Linked DNA regions of Yarrowia lipolytica. The protein of the gene in region 1 binds, or shares a complex with, the protein of each later gene. Links are inferred from orthologs where the notes say so. Each region holds a gene or a part of one and is shown on either strand. Other genes may lie near its edges.

Evidence for each region.
Region 2: YALI1_D34022g (region 1) and YALI1_F33791g share a complex: the UniProt entries of both Schizosaccharomyces pombe proteins name them as parts of the set1 complex. The link is inferred for Yarrowia lipolytica from reciprocal best matches to the Schizosaccharomyces pombe genes spf1 and swd3.

The regions. Positions count from the first base shown.
Region 1 is NC_090773.1:3,395,702-3,406,237, forward strand, and holds YALI1_D34022g (uncharacterized protein), read left to right. Parts: upstream 1-6,491; coding exon 6,492-8,015; downstream 8,016-10,536. Other genes in the region: YALI1_D33961g (uncharacterized protein), read right to left, coding at 1-315; YALI1_D33978g (uncharacterized protein), read right to left, coding at 1,324-2,037; YALI1_D33988g (uncharacterized protein), read left to right, coding at 3,002-5,311; YALI1_D34043g (uncharacterized protein), read left to right, coding at 8,553-8,617, 8,968-9,367; YALI1_D34057g (uncharacterized protein), read right to left, coding at 9,466-9,911, 9,962-9,980; YALI1_D34061g (uncharacterized protein), read left to right, coding at 10,374-10,465, 10,534-10,536. UniProt on the Schizosaccharomyces pombe protein: The Set1 complex specifically methylates 'Lys-4' of histone H3.
Region 2 is NC_090775.1:3,371,260-3,381,160, forward strand, and holds YALI1_F33791g (uncharacterized protein), read left to right. Parts: upstream 1-7,902; coding exon 7,903-9,006; downstream 9,007-9,901. Other genes in the region: YALI1_F33714g (uncharacterized protein), read left to right, coding at 202-1,173; YALI1_F33732g (uncharacterized protein), read left to right, coding at 1,965-3,128; YALI1_F33754g (uncharacterized protein), read right to left, coding at 3,375-4,229, 4,286-4,309; YALI1_F33764g (uncharacterized protein), read left to right, coding at 5,183-6,466; YALI1_F33790g (uncharacterized protein), read right to left, coding at 6,617-7,765; YALI1_F33812g (uncharacterized protein), read right to left, coding at 9,218-9,901. UniProt on the Schizosaccharomyces pombe protein: The Set1 complex specifically methylates 'Lys-4' of histone H3.

The DNA.
Region 1 (10,536 bases):
GCAGAACTCACAGGTGTAACAGGCCTTGTTAATCCACTTGATACCGGCGTAGTCGCCGATTTCGAAGGTGGTCACGTTCTTGCCCTTGGCCACGACAACTCCGGCGCCCTCGTGGCCGCCAATGAGAGGAAGTTTGGTGTCAAGAGGCCAGTCGCCCTTCCAGGCATGGAGGTCAGTGTGGCACACTCCGGAAAACTTGACGTTGACGAGAATCTCGTCGTCGGCAGGAACAGGCACAGGCACGTCCTTGTACATGAGAGGACCGCCGGAGGTCTCGAAAATGACAGCCTTCTGGGTCTTGGGGATGGTGGTCATGGTGAAGAGATGGTAGTTGGTAGTAGTTTGGAAAAGTGTTGTTGTGAGAGTAGCTGAGAGCTGGTGTTGAATTGAGGACCACTCAGCCACTATATATATACCTGTAGAATCCCTCACACACAACACTGGGTTCCAAATCAGTCTCTTCCCTACTCCCAGGCATCTCCACACTCCCGAGAGAGAGGGGAAAGAAATTCGACTGTGGGGAGGGGTGCATGACAAGTGCAACTGAGATGGGAGTCAAAATATGGGTGTACGGAAGTGAACAGAATGAGACATTGTCTACTTGTACACTACCACTGATTTGACTGTTTTTTTCATAGTCTCGCTAAAAATGCTCGTAATTCGAAATTATGACATTTTCTCTTGTTTTTGTGGTCATATCAATATATCAGCTCTGTTTGTTTTTTATCCGTTTTTTTTCTTCTTTTGTTTTCATCTGTCTTTTTCTTTTTTTTGTTCTATTGTTTTCCGGGTATCTTTGAGACAACCTGCACCCCACTCCAATAACGGCTCATGCGCATACTCGGAACGCAGTGTCGTAATTAATATCATTCTTGTCTGACCACAGCAAGCTACAATGTTCTCTCTACTCTGTCTCAGGGGTTGCTACACTGCAAACAATCCTAGCAGTTCCTCAAAACAGTCTACATAGTACAAGTAGGTGCTGTACTTGCACACCACCAAAATCTAATATACATTGATAAATATACAGGCTCAGATGAACCATGCGTCTTCCACATGTCCGCTGTACCCTTCCATGCACCATGATACGTGATTCCCCTCGATGCTTCCCTTCATCCATTGATTGGAGCCGAAGAGAAGGTCAGAGGCGCATTCAGAACCCTTACGCTGAAACAAAGAGCGCAGAGGTGAAGATGTGCAGAGAAAGTAAAGCTGGATGGTTGTTCAGAAACAGTGAAAGCACGAAGAATGTCGGTGTCGGTGCCCAGCGCCTCGCTTGGCTCGTACTCGGGCGATTTCGAACACTCCCTCGCTCGTATTTGATTATGCTTGTCGCTCTGCTTTGAACATGACCTGCAACACATAATCCCTGCGATCCTTATCCCAATGGTTCCAAAACTTACTCGGATGCTGATCCAGCTCCTTCGCAGGGATCTTGAAAGCAATTGTCTCATACGGCTCAGCCGCAATCAACAGATACTGAAACCTTCTGTCTGCCGGAACGTCCACCTTTTGCTCGAACGCAGACATGAATCTGTATCTTGGGGTGACTCCCGTGCCAATCTCTGCAAAGTTGATCTGCATAAGCAGACCCAGCTGCTTGGTCAGCGGGTCCTTCACCTTGGTGATCTTGTAACCGGGACGGCCGATTTTGAGCGCAGATTTCTTAATGTGGATTTTGTTGGCTCCGGATAGTTCCCGGTTCTGCTCCCTGGGTCCATCTCGACTCTGAGCTCCTCTCTTGGCTAAGTTTTGTTGATGCCGCTTGCCTTGGGTGTGGGAGAGATAGCTACCGTCGGTCACATGACTGGTGAGGCAGAGGCGACATTCAAAGTAGCCCAGGTGGTTCTTGAAAATGTATGGGTCTTTGGAAATGTCGAGCTGTTCACTAGCGAGTTTTCGGAGCCGTTCTCGTCGGTGAAGATTGGCTTGAGATTCAGAGGCCATTCCGCCGCCTGAGTTAGTATTGCTAGTGAATGACCCGATAGACGGTGGTCGTTTTAGCACGGTAGGGGCGGACAGGACAGAATGTGTCATGTCCAGCTCTCAAATACGTTAGACGACCCAGGCCATCTCCAGCGAGATGGCTCCATCCGCATGAAAAAAAAAGCCAGAATCAACAGGTTGCATCATGGTGAACAGCTCCTGAATGGCTACCAGACATAAGTTTGAGTAGCAGCAAGAAAACAGTTCAGTGATCATCAGAGTCATGTCTAACACTGCTACACAGAACTCCAATCATGTCCAGCTGAATGTGTTCATCACGTGAGCCTTCCTCGCATCTCCATACTCACCTCCTTTTTTCGATCCCACTCGATTTTGCATGTCCATTTTGCCGGATGTTGTGTGCTGTCTAACGTGTACTGGTCGTACTTTTTTTTAAGTGCTGGTCTGCAGTCAGTTATCAAAAGTTTATTTGAAGGTGGAGGGTTGTTAGACGGTTGTTGGACTGGTGTTCCAGGAGAGTTTTGGGAATTATAAAAGTTGGTTTTTATTTTTTGTGGCACACACACTGCTCTTGAACTCTCACTTTCTCAATATATCTGGCATTACCAGCTCCAGGCCGATTGTCAATCGTCTGTTGTGGCCCTACATCTACTTATTAACTATTACAATAACTCTAAATATTGGACCAACATGAAACTCTACTTTTTTCCACCATACGCGGTGGCACTGAACAGACAGAAACACTCAGAGCGGATCTGAACGCCTCCAGAAACAACAAACACATACGAAACACAACCAGGAGGATCACCCATATAGCACTTATTGCTGGAATCACGTGACTACAAGCGCCGCAACAATCAAGACCACCAGACAGCGTCACTCTTGAGCCGACACGACAGAAGCGGCTACAAGATCTCTGAGACGAGAGGTCCCGCTCAGATTACGTGAGAAGGAACCACGATACTCTCACAATCCACAAACGCGCACATTTTGAACACGTCGTCCGCTACAGTTATCTCGTCACTTGACTCAGAGCACACCAACGACCGCCGTTATGGACAACTCCCTCCTGGGCATCCACAACGCCTATGGCAAGCCGCGGGAAGAAATCCCGCACCAGGAATTCCACTCGGATCTCGATCTTACCGAGAAACTCGATTGTTATACGGACGACCAGAGTTATCGAGAACCGCCTCCAAATCCGCGTCTGGACCCAACAGTGAGACTCAACAAGGCCAGTTTCACCCTTCTGCCCATGGACGAGTTTGATCTGGACGTGACGCCCGCGCTGGAACAGATAGGATACCAGATGACTGAAGAGTTTACCTTGCCTGATGAATACATGCAAGAACAGCCCGAGGTGGAAGGGGTGGAATATGATATGGACGAGCAGGATGCTTTTTTCATGGATATGGTTACGGAACAGTGGCCACCCGCCGAAGATAGCAGAGATTCCGGTGAAAGTGGTGCCGATGGTGCTCCCGATACCGATCAAGCTGTTGCTTCAGACTCAGCTACTTCACCACCACCTTCATCACCCACATACAACGCCGATGGACAACTCATTCTCCGAGGATACACACCGGAACCGCCACAAGGACCGTTTCCGCCGACTCACGAAATGTTTGAATACGTGGTTACTCTCATAGAACGCCACTGGTTCTCGCTGGCATCTTCCATGCCTCCAAAGCCGCCCCAGACACACGACGAAATGGACTCGCTGGATGACCAAGCATGTTGCATCTGCGGCGAGTCCGAGTGTGACAACTCTAACGCCATTGTATACTGCGACGGCTGCGATATGGCGTGTCATCAGGAATGCTACGGAGTGACCCACATTCCTGAGGGCCAGTGGCTGTGTCGAAAATGCAGCTTCTCACGTGCGCGACGACGAAACAAGAAGGGAACGTGCATCTTTTGTCCTTCCCAGGTTGGAGCATTCAAAATGACCACGCAAAAGAACTGGGGACATGTTATTTGCGCGTTGTGGATCCCCGAAATCAAGATTGGTGGTCGCAACATGGAGCCCATCAGTCACGTCCGTGACGTCCCCCGTAGCCGCTGGAAGCTACATTGTTACATTTGCAAGCAGCGCATGGGTGCATGTATCCAATGTGCACGGGGCAGCTGTGTGCAGGCCTTTCACGTGACCTGTGCCAGACGAGCAGGTCTACAGATGGAAATGCTCCATGGCGTTCAGGGCGCAATTTTTGATGCAGGATCTATGAGAGCGTATTGTCACAATCATGGAGGAGACGACGACACTCTAATGAGGATAAAGGCGCTGCGAAAGTGGTTTGCCGAGAGGTATGATGGTAAAGGTAGGAGGAAGGCCATTGAGGACGTTGCTACTACGACAGAGTCCTCTGAACTTGGTAGCGAAGCTCCTACTCCGGGAGGTGGGGAGGGAAATGTGGCTACGACAACGGTCGAAGACGTTGTTAGTACCCCTGTGGACACGCCTGTCGAAATGGGCACCTCACAGACCCCTCAGCCAGCTACTCCTTGTGGAGAGGAAGGCAGGGACTTCCCAACTCCCTCAGAAGCAGATCAAACAGTTGTTACTGAGGTCTATCCCACCTGGAAAACACCCGCAGGTACTCCTCTTCTGCCCAAAGTCATCATCGACCGCATCTGTGATGCTTTGGAGCCGTTCAAGATCTCGCACTGTCGCAAGTTTGTGACTATGGTGGCCCGGTACTGGGCTCTGAAGCGGGAGTTCAAACGGGGCGCTGCGCTCATCAAACGGCTCAATATCGCTCTGGAAAACTCGCAAGCTGTGGCCTCCACTCAACTCGAGTCTGTGGAGGACAGACAGAAGCGATACAGAGACATGATTGTCCTGATAAACGAGCTGGAGCGAATCAAGGTGCGGGTAAAGCTACTTGCTGAACGAGAATCCGTCAAGCTGGATTATCTCAAGGTCCAGGGTGAGCTCATCCGAACGCTTCTCCTGCCTGTTACAGCCCTATGTCTCAGGCTGTGCGACGAGATGACCGAGCAGGATTCCAATGGGTACTTTCTGGAGATTCCCGAGATTCCGGGTTACAGAGAGGTGGTCGAATGCCCCATGTCCATGACGGAGATTCGGGAAAAGACCCTGAATCTGGAGTACGACCATGTGGCCCAGATGCTGCCAGACTTCGAAGTCATGTTTGACAATGCGTTTGTCTACAATGATAGTGAAGCTCCTGTGTGTGTGGAGGCCACGAGATTAAGGGGCGTGGTGAGAGGGCTGGTGGAAGAATACACGGAGAAGGAGAAGGAGAAAGAGTACCAGAGGTGTTTTGGGGAGGGGGAGAAAGGGGAGGTAGGGAAGGAGGTGAGAGAGGCGCAGAAGAGGCCGTTCACTGCTATTGAGTAGACTGCGAGGTGAGTGTGCAGCTCTCACCGAACGGACCAGGGTGAAATGAGTGTGTAACTCTTTTGTATTGGACCTATTAGGCAAGCATGCGTTGCCGCTCTAACCGTCTACACTTGTACTAATATTATTTATGCGATATTCTGTACAGTCTACGTAGCCTCTGGGGTTGTACATCAGTGGCTACCATTGCTAATGATAAGAGACCTGAAAACGTACAACATAGTGCACATTCCCAATGACCAGGGTCCATGAAAAGTATCTAATCGATTCACGAGCTGGCGCTGAGTCGATGGTGTAAAAATCATGCAGCTTGCGATGGTTTACAATTAATACAACTCGCAGTAGCACCAACAGCGACCTACTCTAACTAATCATCAAGTAATAGTGAGAGTTGGATTAAGTAAAACATCCACTATAGTACATACTATACAACACGGACTGAACCAGGTTTTTTTATGATTTTTTTACTGGAAATGTCGTCCAAAGTTGGACATGACACAAAGTGGTTAATTGTATATCGTGTAACTGCATTCTTCAAAGGTTATTTTTCACGGCAAAGTTTATAATTAAAGGTATAAAAAAAAAAAAAAAAAAAAAAAAAAAAACTGTACATACTGTACTTCTGATAGCCAATTTTGTAGGGAAACTGATAAAAATCTCCCTAATGTCTATGTATCTAGCTAACTATTGCCACAGGCAGTTCTTGATCTCTACTTGTACTGTTCTATAAGTAATGGGCACCAGCTATATTTTGGTACAAGTACGATTGGGCGTGTCAGTGACTTCCGTTACTTTGGTCTCCGAAACAGCCGCGGAGGCTGGATCTGGAGTACAAGTATGTACTTATATTAAAAACCAAGAATTTGGGGTCGGTGGGGGTTCTATGAGACCATGTGGGAGCTTTCATTTTTCTTGTCAGTTCAAGTCAGTACAAGTACCATAATACAGTATGTATTGTAATTGAACTCGAGAATACACGAGCTAAAAGGGGTTCATATAATGGTGCCCAAAGTTGATGTCAAAGTTTCAGATTATGCAATAATAGGGAATATTCCGCTTAGGTAAACGCCTACTGGTACTAAATCACGTGATATATCCATTCACCTGATCAATATCGCATTTCCACTGACGTTTAGTCAGTTCATGCGCGACACTTGAAACAATGGAGTAAATTTCATGCATGTATATTTCACCTTGCATACAGTACTACACTATCACCAACTCAACAACACCACACAACATGTCTTCTAACGACGCGACTTCGGACGATACAGACGCCACGGTCGAAGAAGACTTCAAACGGGAGCCCGAGACAGCTGCCAACCTCGAGAGCAACCCTCCTAGCGATCCGCCGGTTGAGAATGAAGAGGCGAGTGACAGTGACGAGCCTAGTGGTGGATTTTCATACTCTTTGTTGAAGAAGAGTGTTCCTATGAAAGAGAACCAAGCGGAGACAGCAAAGCCCGAATCTGTGATGAAATCCGACCCGGTTGTCAAAGCTGAGCTGCTCACGTCCGAGGCAGGATCAGCCACGCCCTCGGCTACTGAATCGCCTCGAGAAACGCCCTCCGATCTGATGTCTCCCGACCCCGATCACATTCCCAGCAAGTCTTCCAAGCGGCGTCAACCGAAACCCAAGAGCCGTCCTGCTCCGAAAAAGAAGCTGAAAGTCGCCGTTGCGAAGGACTACAAGTTGCCCCCCGGTGCTCCACCCGTTGACACCAGTCACCATGGCGACGAAGATCACCAGGATCTATTTTGTGTGTGCAGACGACCTGACGACGGAAAGTGGATGATTGGATGCGATTACTGCGAAGAATGGATCCATGGAAGCTGTGTGGGTATAACTCCAGCCAGAGCAAAACTCATGCACAAGTTCTGCTGTCCTTACTGCACACACAAGGCCGAAAAGATGCGTCCCGGCGAAGAGGCCACGGTGGCCCATCAGATGACGCTGAAACACGGCACAGAAACCACCTGGAAGCGCGTTTGTCGACTGGAAGAGTGCCACAAGGCTGTCTCATACCCCAGCAAGTACTGCTGCAGAGAACACGGTCTGGAGTACATGAAGGGCAGAGTGGCTGCTCTCAGCACCAACAGCAACTCAAGTGTGGCTGACGACACTGAGGAGCCGTTTGGAAAGCTTTCCGAGGAACGTCTAGCTGCTATCGTCCAACAGACTCCCAACCTGGCTGCGTTCAAGACTCTAGGCTCGACTACTCCCGTCGAAGCGTCTCCTGTGACTCCTAAACAACCCTCCACGCAGCTCAAGTTTGTGGAACAAAAGCTCAAGTACATGACTCTGGTCAAGGACCGAACCAAGAGTCTCAGTGAAGAGGCCGCTACAGCCGCGGGAGTAAGAAAGAAGGATTTATGTGGCTACGATTCGCGTCTGGACAAGGATCATGACATCTGGGCGAATGAATTTGCTGCCCAGGATGAACTGGTGGGTATTGCCATGAGTGATGATACTAGTAAGACAGTCACTCCTTCCCACGATGCTCTACACAACAAGGAACACATTTGCTTGCAGGACAAGCGGAAATGCTATAACCATCTAGGCTGGGCTGCTCTGATTACCGACCGGCTGAATTTGCAGCTGGCTATTCTCCAGCGGGAAATGGAGAGAAGCGAAGGCGACGAGGCCGATCTGAAGGAGATTGAGCGGCTGAGAAGCGTTGAGAGAAAGACGTGGATCAAGTGAGAGGCGGGTGTGAAGAGAGTCTGATTTGGAAGAGGTCAGAAATGTACTTTTAGATATTATTTATTGGAGTTACAGTACTTGTGAAAAAGTGAATCTCAGAGAAGATTATTGGGGATACACCTATGTACTCGTACAACAACTCGTACAAGTACATAAAATGATGTCTGTCCAGATTCTTCTGGTGAGGATACCCCAGCAAAGGTGCTAACTCCTCACTCCAGATTCTCAGCTATTTGTAGATTTAAGCGAAACATATACTTACAATTATACTTAGGTTTAGTTGAGGAAGGAGCCACCATAAACATACACCAATTGTAACCTCAAATGTCTTTACAGAGAGATATTCAGTAGGAAAATCGTTACATCTGTGCCGAAAGTAGAGGAGCCACAAATTTACTTGTATTTGACAACTACGGAACACGATATGACATCTCTCACTTTGTCAGCATCTCCCCACCATTTCCGGATTCTGCAATTAAGCTTGCATGAGATCACGCTTCAGATCTGAATCAGTCACACTCACCACCTCCATCAACAATGAGAGCTGTTATCCAGAGAGCCAAGAGCGGATCGGTGACAGTCGATTCGAAGATTGTCAGTCAGTGAGTATAGCAGGCGAAGAGCCACCGGAACCGGGGAGCATGCTCTGAGGAGACGGCCCATATGATACGAGAAGGGCAACGGTGGGACTACAGAAGGACGGATAGACAACAGAAGGAAACAAGACGAGACAGCGGGTACCATTCACAAGGGTTTTCAGAACGGACGGAAAGACCAATGATTCTACAGGCCCCCAGAAACAACGAGTTCTCGCCTCATATTCGTTCTATGAGCAGTCTTAATCAACTGCCTGAGACTCTTCACTTCTGTCACACTCCATTACTATTGGATCAATTGTTGTCCACTCGGATTCTCCATCCTGGCCACCGTGCTTTCGGGCCCGCTAACACAGAATCTCCCACGGGCTAGTTGTTCTTATCGGAGTGGGCCATGAAGATACGGCAGAAGACGTGGAGAAGGTCGCCAACAAAATCATCAAGACCAAACTTTGGCCCTCGGTCGATGGAGCACAGCAATGGAAACAGAGTGTGCTCGACGTTGGTGGAGAAGTGCTCTGTGTTAGTCAGTTCACTTTGTTTGCCAAGGTCAAGAAGGGCCAGAAGCCAGACTTTCACAATGCCGCCAAGGGCCCACAGGCTAAGGAGCTCTACGACCAGGTGCTGGCAAAGATCCAGGCTGCTCTTCCAGAGGGTCGGACAGTCAAAGATGGTGTTTTTGGCGCCATGATGGACGTTGCGCTGGTTAACGACGGGCCTGTCACCATTCAGTATGATACAAAGAATGACAAATAGAGGATAGATGATGAGCGACAGTACAGTAGTTATATATAGGTATATTCCATCAAGCTGGCTTGCTAACATGTTTAATTCGTTTTTTCTTCTATATTACTTCACTCCGCCTGCTGAGTCTGCTTCTTCTTCATCTCCTCGCCAATCTTCTGGCGCATGATCTGGTCAATAGCCTCCAGATTCTTACCCTTCTGCTCGGCTACGGCTGTCAGATCGCCCAAGTTCTTCTCCAAAGTCATCACCTTCTTCTGGTAGTGGGCAATGGCTCCTTCTGCGTCCTTTTCCACATAGTATCCCGTTCCCACGTCAACCATGAACTTGCCCACGTTGCTCATGCGTCCAGGCACGTACAGCGATGATGACAGCGGCACCATGAGTTCTGTATCGTCCTTCTCGGCGGACACGCCACGCACCGACTCCTGACAGTCCTGGAACTTGCGCTTGGCCTCAATGAGCTTTTGGAACGACGAGTTGAGAAACTCCACCTCCTGCATCAGCTTCTGCTTAATTTCGCCCAGCTGGGGGATCGAGAGCGTATTGAGGTCGACTGTGTTAGTTTGGGGCGTGGGAGATCTTGTTGCTCTCTGTCTCACTCACTCTGTGTCTGTTCGGCCATGGCGGTTGGATCAATGTGTTCAAACAGATCGTGGCAGCCTGAGCTCGAATGCACCTAAACCTAATGTGTTGGGGTTTGGAGATGGTTAATTGGGATTAGGGGGTTCGAACTGGGAAGTCGTAATTTGAGTCTAAAAACTAGGATAAAAATAATAAAAGAACATCAAAATCAAGAAAAAATCATTAGAAGAAATATATATTGACGGGTTCCCTTCATCCTGCTCATCAAAAATGATTACTAAGCCCCACAGGGCACCTGGTGGGGTTGATCTGGACTTTGCTTGACTTGTCAAGTCTTAGCAAGCAAAGATCTGCTGTACATACTGTGTAAGTAGGATGCCGTTCATTTTATATATTTCAATTCAATTCTTGCATTTCATATCCGATCGTTCATATGTTTCAGCTCATGGCCAGAGAGTGGGCCTCTAATTTTTATCTAGAGTGTTTACTCTCATTCAGATACAGTAGGTCTTCAGCTCTGAGCTTGTCAAAGCCAACTGTCATGCCGACTTTTCTTGACAAAATTACTTGACCGTAGTTACAGTATGCTCAAGTTT
Region 2 (9,901 bases), on another chromosome or scaffold:
TTTAAACACAAATCAGTCTTACAAATCGCACACAAAAATGGTACGTTCTAGTATTGATAATCATGTATGGTAATACGATGTCGTGCATTGTTTATGTAGTGTAAGTAGTTATTGTGCGTTGTGTATGCAGTGTAATCGGTGACAGTGACAACATGGGGAGATATATATAGAACGGCTTTGGGACGGTTTAGATCAAAACTCATGTTAAGAAAACAACAACTCATCAGCAAACTACAACAACTAAAACTAATGTCTACCACTACCGATATTACTACACCCATTTCCAAGCCCATTGACAAGATCTTCACTGCTCTAGAGACTTCCGAGGGTCGAGGAGCGCGTGTTCGGCGTGTCATGCCTACTGGGAATATGGTGAACTTTACCCCCTTTCTTATGTTTGATCATTTCAAGGTGCCCTCTTCTGCTGGTTTCCCAGACCATCCTCATCGAGGCCAGGAGACTATCACCTATGTGGTTGATGGATCCGTCGACCACGAGGATTTCACTGGTAGCAAGGGTACTCTTAATGCCGGAGATTTACAATTTATGACTGCTGGACGAGGTATAGTGCATGCTGAAATGCCTTCTGCGGGTCCTAATGGAGAGGTCCGAACTGTGGAGGGTATCCAGCTGTGGGTGGACCTACCCAAGGAGCTCAAGAACTGCAAACCTCGGTACAGAGATCTGAGAGCCGCTGAGATTCCTATTGCCAAATCGGATAGCGAGGATCTCACTGTCAAGGTGATTTCTGGCAAGTCTATGGGCGTCGATTCCGTCAAAGATCTTGCGTATACTCCTGTCTGGTTCCTTGATTTCGAATCTTCCAAGCAGTACAGCGGACGAGAGGTCAACCAGGATATACCTGAGGGCTTCAACTCGCTGTTATATGTCATGAAAGGCACAGCTACCGTCAACGGCAAGAAGATCAAGCAGCATGATGTGGTTATATTCAAGAATGGAGGAGACTCTATCGACTTCATCCCTGGTCCTTCCTCAAGAGTCATTGTCATTGGAGGAAAGATTCTGGAACAGCCCATTGTCCAGCATGGTCCCTTCGTTGCAACCACCAGAAAGGGCATTGTCAAGGCCTTTGAGGACTACCAGACTCGAACTCATGGTTTTGAGCAGGCCAAGGGTTGGTCTTCCGAAATCGGTAAGCGGATGAAGCTGTAGGCCCACGAGTCTACAGTACGAATACCGGTACGTAGTCACCGAAGTCCCTTACTAACCTTTTTATATACCTACATAGCATAAATATAAATGAACTATCAATAGCCTATCTAAAACTATCACCACGTGTAGCCTTATATTTCTGGGGCATGAGCTGAGTCGCCATTCCGCTACCCCCTTATCCCTTCATATGACGGACATGAAAAGAAACCTCATATCACAAACAGCCCCTTACGCTCACGCTCCAGAAAGTCACGCAGCTTACATTTGAGATGCAGCGCTTCCAATAACACTATCGTTGCCACCACAACGAAAGTGGCAAGACGGCTCTTCCAGTATTTTCCAGAAGCATTTTAGTAGGGCAAACGAAAACGAAAGCAGAACTAAAGAGAAATTTCCTTTACATCTACGGATAATTTTTTCCTTGTCAAGCTCCCAAGACCTGTACCGTGCTCACATTCTGATCAGATGTAAAACGCCACTTGAGTTGTTACTCTGTGCTGTGTTTGGCACGGTTATACTTTCAAGTACAAGTAGGAGACATTGTTTGTATGGGGTATGGAGAGTACTCAGTCACTAAAAAACTAGCCATAGGACACAGAGATGATGGTAGTATCAAAAATCGTCACTCACGTGGCCACTGCCTCACAAACCCATAATCACCCTCCAACTTCCTGCTAAAACACCTAGACCTGTTCCGCCCCCTTGAAATAGGGTTTAAGACACGTGACCATACGCCTCTTCACGCAGGTTGTATATATACATCCGCAGTACGTAGCACCTCTTCGCTAACAATGACTCGACACAGCATGGAATCCAACGACTCGAACGACGTGTTATTCGACGCGCCCTCCAGTCCACGTGACGCTCTGGCTGCGGCTTTTGGAAGCGACTCAGATTCGGACTCGGATGATGAACATCATCTCCAGAGCGGAGGACGGATGGGACGTAGCTACAACCAGGTCGACACCAGCACACAAGATGATGACGACGACCTGAACCATGACGACGATGGAGGAGCTACTCTGGAGGAGCTGGCGCAGACGGAAGACCCCCAGTACGACAGAAGCAACTATGCAGACGACCGGTTAGGGGGCTCCAACAACAACGGAGGCCATACCCGGATCCCTGGAGGTTTTCCTGAAGCTGGAAACACCGGTTCTGGATCGGGAGGCAACGCTGGCTCCGGGTCCGAGGGCTCCAACGTGTTTTCTACCGGCTTCTTCAACCGTCTATTCAACAGAGGTCAACTGCTGCCTACAACAGAACCTCCAGCATCATCTTCGCACGATGGTGTGTTTTCAAACACTCAGGCCAATGATGACGACGAAGATAAGCCCACTGACGAAACACCTCCTACCTACGAGGAGGCTGCTGCGGATGCCACTCCTCCTTACTGGGCAACCACTATTCTCCACCCTGGCTACGCGGAAGAGGTGTTTATCGACGGACTTCCCGTGGGCTCGCCCATTTCTTTTTTGTGGAACATGACTGTATCGTCCGTTTTCCAATTCATCGGTTTTGTTCTTACGTACCTGCTGCACACGTCGCACTCGGCCAAACAGGGCTCTCGAGCAGGCCTCGGACTCACAGTGTTCCAGATCGGCATGTACATGCGAAACAGCGGAGGAAACCCCACTACAGACTACTCGTCAGTACCTGCACACCAATTTGTGCCCTCAGACCCCAACAACTTCGATGTACCCGGTTACGGATCCAACATTCCGGGAAACGCAGTCATTCCGACCATGGAGCATGTGGACCCCACGGTGCAGGAACAGGAGCGGGCCGCTCATGAAAAGAATGTCTTCTGGTCAGGCATTATCATGGCGGTGGGAACTCTTGTCATTCTCAAAGCTCTGTGGGACTACTGGCGTGCTCGACGAATGGAGTTGATTGTTCTTCAAACTCCCCAGCACGTAGTGACGGAAGAAGATACCCCCGAGACTGCTGTCTAGGAAAGGAGGGAAGCAAATAGACTAACTTGGCCCCCGTCAGGAAGGGGACCATTATTTATTAGACACTGCATGGCACATACTGTAATAGCATGATGGAGTACAAGCATCTGTATTGTAGACTGTTTCATATTGCGTTCATTTTTGTGAGACTAGAAGAGTATTTGATACAAGTACTAATATATTGATCAATGTAATAACGTACGCACGATGTTGTTTTCTGTTCATCTAGTCATTATGTATAAACGTCTAAAGAATCTCCATGATCTTCTCATAGATGGTAAAGACAATACCTCCGGAGAGAATGAGTCGTCCGAGACGGGGAGTGGCTCCCTTCCAGAAGGTCAACAGGCCCTCCTCCTTGAAGATTCGAGCAAAGCAGTGGAAGGTGCCTCGGTATTCCTTTTTGGCCTCCAACGATTGCATTCGGGTCTTGACGGTATCCAGAGGCATGGTGGTGTAAACAGTGACGATACCGGCAAAGGCACCGACAATGAATGTGGACAGAGACGAGAGAGGGGCCTTAGGGTCCTTCTGCCGGCTCTGAATGAACACCTTCATCCAGTTGTAAGATCCCAGGCGGACAGCCTGGTTCGCAGCCTGTCGCATGGTAACAGGGACAAGACCACGGTAGATACCGGAGAGGCCCTTGTCCTTGATGAGCTGTGCGGTTCCCTTGAACAGACCCTGGTACTTGGGATTCTTACTCTGTCGGTCGTCGATCATGGCTGTCTTGATGGTCTCAAAAGGAGTCACAGCGACGACGGACTCAAGCACACCGGCTCCCAGTCCCGCTAGAACTCCTCGAGGTCCGGACACCTTACCATCCTTGTCGGCCAGCAGGCCCTTGATTGCGTCGAAACCAAGGAACCGGACACCAGCCTTGACGGTATTGCCGACAATGAAAGCGGGGCAACCAGTGTACACTGCTCCGAGACCCTGGGTCTTGGCTGTGTTGTAGATGAGCACCAGAGGGTTTCTGGAGGCGGTGGATGACTTGTCAACGAGCTGGAGACGGGTCTTGGACCATTCGAAAGGGTAGGTAACGAGACCCTCCACGGCTCCGGCCGTAGAACCGGCTACCAGGGACTTCCAAGGTTCGGCCTGTGTTAGATCATGATGCTTGCTGGTAGTAGTTGTCGACTATGACTCATACTCACCTTCTTGGTATCTGATGAAACCATTGTCAATGTGTCTGTGTCTGTACTTTTCAGTGGGGGTGCTGTTGAACGGGCTCTGGATGTGTCAGTCCGTGTTTTTAGATCCGCTTAGTGTGGATATTTTTCACCTGAAAAGTCTCGAGGATAACTTCAGCCGTGTTTGACTCAAGATGCGCTTTAGGCTCCCAGCATGTCCGCTTCGGCCCGTGTATGCACACCAAAAGCTGGAGAAGCATTGGTGGAGGTTGTAGCAGTAGAAGATTATCTTGGTCCAATTTGTGGCATGGATGTCAAATTGATGTCACGTGAGTAGATTTCGAATATCGTATCGCTATTCACAAATGTCGATGTGCTCCATCTTGCCGTACCTAGAACATAAATGAGAGTACGTTCGCTTAAAAGCCAGATCAACTAATATGGATAGAATAACCAACTAAACTTCGTGAGTGTCCACGGCAGTGTTTACAGTGCTGGTATGTATGAAATAATTGTTTTGCTTCCGCATAATGGACAAAATTAATTTATATAAAACCAATGTTATATCTCTGATCCACAAATTCGCAACATTTCCTTTATCACTGTCGCGTTTGGCCGTATCTACAGTGTTTTTATGCTCACAGCTCTGCTAATTACAGTGTAATACAATCATGTCTTTGTTAATCGTCTCCTACATGAATCTATTTGAACGAGTTTTACCCTAAATAAACAGACGTTCTAGTTCCAATATTAATTCCATCTCTCTATTAGTACAGTAAATCTATTCCCTGTCACTCCGATGCCCAATGCATCCCCTCCACCATCTCACATTCACTCTTACCTCAATTAAGTTCACGACTCGACAGTCAGACATCACCACCTAAAGTTTCATCTACCATCACGTCCATCACCACACATCCAATGCCGTCACTAACGCCCCCCACAGCCAACGGAGCCGTCCAATCGTCGTCGGACGAAGTCACGTCCATCGTCATTGAGTGCGGCTCGTCATACACGCGTGTCGGCTTCTCGGGAGACGACCTCCCCAAGGTGGTCATCCCCACCAAATACGGCAAGTACACAAACGACAAGGGCGAAGATGTGTACGAATTCGGCCTGGAAAACGTGCATCGACCTGTAGCCGGCAAGGAAATCTACAGCCCCGTGCAGGACGGTTGCATCCAGGACTGGGATGGAGTGGCCAAGCTTTGGGAGTACGCCATCAAGGAAAAGCTCAAGGTGGACGACTTGAGCGAGTACCCTCTGGTGATCACAGAGCAGATGTGGAACTCGAGTGCAAGACGGGCCAAGATCGCCGAAATGTGCTTCGACAAGTTCCGGTCGCCTGCCATCAGCTTCGTGAAGAACCCTCTCTGTACTGCTTACGCTGCCGTGCGACCCAACTCCATCATTGTGGAGATCGGTTCGGCCGTGGCCAGTGTGTCTACCGTACTTGACGGCAATGTGGTAACCAAGGCCTCTTTCCACTCCAAGTTTGGAGGCGACTTTCTCAACTACCTGATTCTCGAGGAGTTCAAGCGAAAGCAGGTCGAGGTCATCCCCTCGTACCTGGTCAAGAAGAAGAAGGACATTAACGACCCCAACCCTTCTACATTCCTGCGAGAACTGCCCGGCATGACTGACTCGTACAAAAACTTTGAGATTGAGCGGGTGCTCGACAACTTCAAGGAAACCACCCTCCAGGTCAACTACCACCCCATCATGCCTCACACACCGCTGCCACCCAACATCCAGAGACCCTACGAATTTCCCGACGGAAGCACATACATTGCTGAGCAGGAACGATTTGGAATCGCCGAGTCGCTGTTCAGGCCCGTCGAGTTTGGACCCCCAGGTGTCGTGCCTGAGGGAACTCTCGGTATCTCGGAGCTCATCTACCATGCCGTGCTCAAGACCGACCCCAAAGCCGAGGTCCAGATGGAGCTACTTAACAACATTGTCGTTGTTGGAGGAACTACTCTGCTCAACGGTCTGACTGCCCGAATCCACCGGGACATGGCCCAGTTCTTCACCCAGTTCCATGTCAAGCAGCCCTACCTCTCGGTGACCTCCACCGAGCGAAAGTCGCTGGCATGGACCGGTGCCTCTGTTTTCGCTTCTCTCGGCAACTTTGGTTCTTCCTGGGTCATCAAGCAGGAGTATGAGGAACAGGGCGCCGATGTCATTGACAAGCGTTTCAAGTAGAGTAGCTGTAGCTAACGTGTATTATAATGGTATTGGATGTTTTGAATCATGCAGTATGTACTGTATCTACCAGTACGTATCTAGTTACTCGTAGTCTAATGTGTATAAAAAATCTTTGTTATATGTACATCACCTGTAGTTTTTCTTCGTCTACTCCTCGTCAAAGTCAGCCTCCTCAACAGCCAGCTCAACATCATCAAAATCACCCTCATCATCGTCGTCATCTTCCTCATCTTCCTCCTCCTCATCCTCGGCACGCTGCTTGGCTTCGTATTGCTTGTAGTATGCGGCCAGAGCGTCCTCTTCCTCCTCCTCGAGCTTGGGCTCCATATCCTCGGCCTTGACCTTGGGAGCCACTTCCTCCTTTTTAACACCCTCCTTTGTATCCTTCTTCTGGGGATAGTCATCGTCGTTACCAATCTCTGTGAATCCATGTTGCTCCTGGTCGGTATCCCCCATTACCATCTGTCGACCAACAGTAGACTCCATGTACCATGCGGGAAGGGCGTTCTGTTCGGCCAGCTTAGCCTTCTCATCTCGCTGGGCAGCCTCGTCCTCTGCACCCGTGGAAAGGTTGACGGTGAGAGTGGAGCTTTTGTTGGAGCCCGTCTGGGACGAAGTAGTGCCTCTGCCAGCAGTCTTGATAGAAGAGGTGCTTCCTGCAGTGACCTCCAGCTGTGCGGGAACCGCCTTGGCAAGCGACGTCTCAAAGGTGTTTTCGGCCACCTGGATGTCGTCTATCTTTCGTAGCTCGTCTATAATGGGCTTGATTTGCTGCATGAGCTTTTCCAGTCGGTCCTGGTGCACTCTGGATTCGTCACTGGTGGTATCTTCGACAATCACGGTAGAACAGACATCACAGGTGAAAGTGCCGTCCATTTGCACGTTGGTGACGGCCTCGAGGGTAGTGAACTTTTTGGTACACAGCGGACACACGTATCCCTGTGGCTGGGATTTCTTTCCAAGCGCCTCCTCTGCCTGCTTGTTCATGGAGTGCACCTTCCACTTGATGGCATCGATAGTCACAGTGTAGTGGATGTAGTAGTACGTCTTTTGGTAATTTTTGTTGTAGCCGTATGTGTTTTCCTGCTGCTCGCGCTGGGTGTGATCCTTGAGCAGCTTGTCGTCCTTGAGCTTTGCGCAAATCTGTCGAATCTCCTTGGCCGGAATGCTCAGCAGCTGGTGCAGTTCCTCGTCTGAAAGCACCACATGCTTGAGCAGCGCGTCCATCACCAGGATGGACTTTGTGTCGTAAAAGCCTCGTGTAACGTACTGGAGGAGCCGCTTGATGTTGTCCATGCTGTGTTAATTTGTGGTGTTGGTTTTTTCTTGTGCCCGTCCCCGAAGCTGCTGTTGTATGCTACAGTACTGCCTGTTTTATCCCGATCAAAGTTAGTCAAACCGACTGAGAGTGCGTTCTTCCTGCATACTCCAACATGACGACGGATTTCGGCGGTGGCACAAAAAAAGTGAGAACCGAGCAGGAGGAGGACCTGGCGTCGGAGTTTCCTACGAAGCTCACGATAGACGCTCACTCCGCACCCTGCACGACGGCAAAAATCAGCCCAAACGGCAAACAGATTGCAACATGTTCTGCAGACGCGTCTATAAAGCTGTGGGACGCTGCTACTGGAGACCTGATACAGACGCTGAGAGGTCATCGAGCGGGAATCAATGACATCAGCTGGTCGCCTGACTCGAAGATGCTCGCCACAGCTTCCGACGATCGAACGATCCGAATTTGGTCCACACACCGACCTTCCAGTCAGCGTATCCTAGTGGGACACACCCACTATGTGACATGCGTCAAGTTCAATTATAAGGGCAACCTAGTGGTGTCCGGATCAGCCGATGAGAATGTCCGAGTGTGGGACGTGCTTCAGGGTCGGTGCATCATGACCCTGGCGGCCCACTCACAACCCATCTCGGCGGTCGACTTCTCATGCGAAGGAACCATGATTGTCAGTGGATCACATGACGGTCTTATCCGAATGTGGGACACTGCCACTGGCCAATGTTTGAAAACAATTGTCGGTGAAGAATCTTCACCCATCATGTTTGCCCGCTTCACTCCAAACTCCAAGTTCATCCTTGTCTCTAATATGGACTCCACTGCAAGGTTGTGGGACTACATGAACAATAAGGTGGTCAAGACATACAAGGGCCACGAGAATGGCAAGTACTGCTGTCCCACTGGCTTTGTGTATCGTCAGGATCGAGCCGTCCTTTTGCATGCCTCTGAGGACGGTCGCGTCTACGTGTACGATATACAGGATCGAACTGTGCGGGGCTCGTTTGACGCTCATCCGGGAGTTATTATTTCACTGGATGTTATTGATAACAAAATCGTTACCTGTTCATTAGATGGCTCAGTGAAGCTGTTTGAGCTGGTGGAAGAGAACAGCCCAAGTGACGACATGGATACTGATACCGAGGAGAATGGCTGCCGAACCAATAGCAGTGAGGAGCGGGACAACAGCAGAGAAAAGGAGGACGGCAATGGAGATGGTCATGGAGATGTTAGCATGAACAACGACTAGCACTGAATATGGTGCTTAAAACAACACGAAAGGTGCTGTCTACTACAAGCACACAGCATCTACGAATAAGTAATATAGAATAACAGCATAATGACTAAACGTACAGTAGCTACAGTAGGAGTACAGTGGCCACTCGAACGCACCTACATACCCCAGTTCAAACATGAACCGTTTAATTTATTTATATAATGCACTACCTAGTACAAACCACCTACGCCTGGAAAGCAACGTTGTCGACGTTTCCAGCCATGAGAGAAACAATGTTCTCCTCCAGTCTATCAGTAACAGCATCCTCAAGATGCTTCTTGGGGTCCTGCTTTCCGACATATCGAGTCTTGAGCTGGTCCTCGGTCATCTCCTGCTCCTCCTGCACTCGGTTGGTGTACTCAATGGCCAGTTTGACCATCTTCTGTGCAGCGTTGGCGTTGTTGCACTCCTGGGTCTCGTAGTTCTGGATCTCCAGACCAGAGGTCCAACTGCTCTTGTGCAGGTTCTGCAGCATCTTCTCATCCAGGGGAGTTTTCTTGTAGTTGATGTTAATGGAGTAGTAGTGTCGGTTCAGGCCGTGGATCAGGGCGTGGATTGTGGGCTTGTTAAGATGACCCACGTTGGAGGTCGACAATCGAGGCTCCTGGCCCAAAAGCACCGAGTTTGTGTTAATCAGTCGGAAGGCGTCAATTACAACCTTACCCTTGACCGACTGAATGGGATCCACCACCACTGCCACTGCTCGCTTGTTGAGCTGCTCAAACGATTGTTGGGTGTTGATATCCACAGACGACAGCCAGCAGCCGAAACCGGGATGTGAATGGTACCATCCGACGACCATCTGATCTCGACCGGTCTGTTTAAGCATATCCATCATTCGTGTTTGGAACACATCATCAACGGCCTC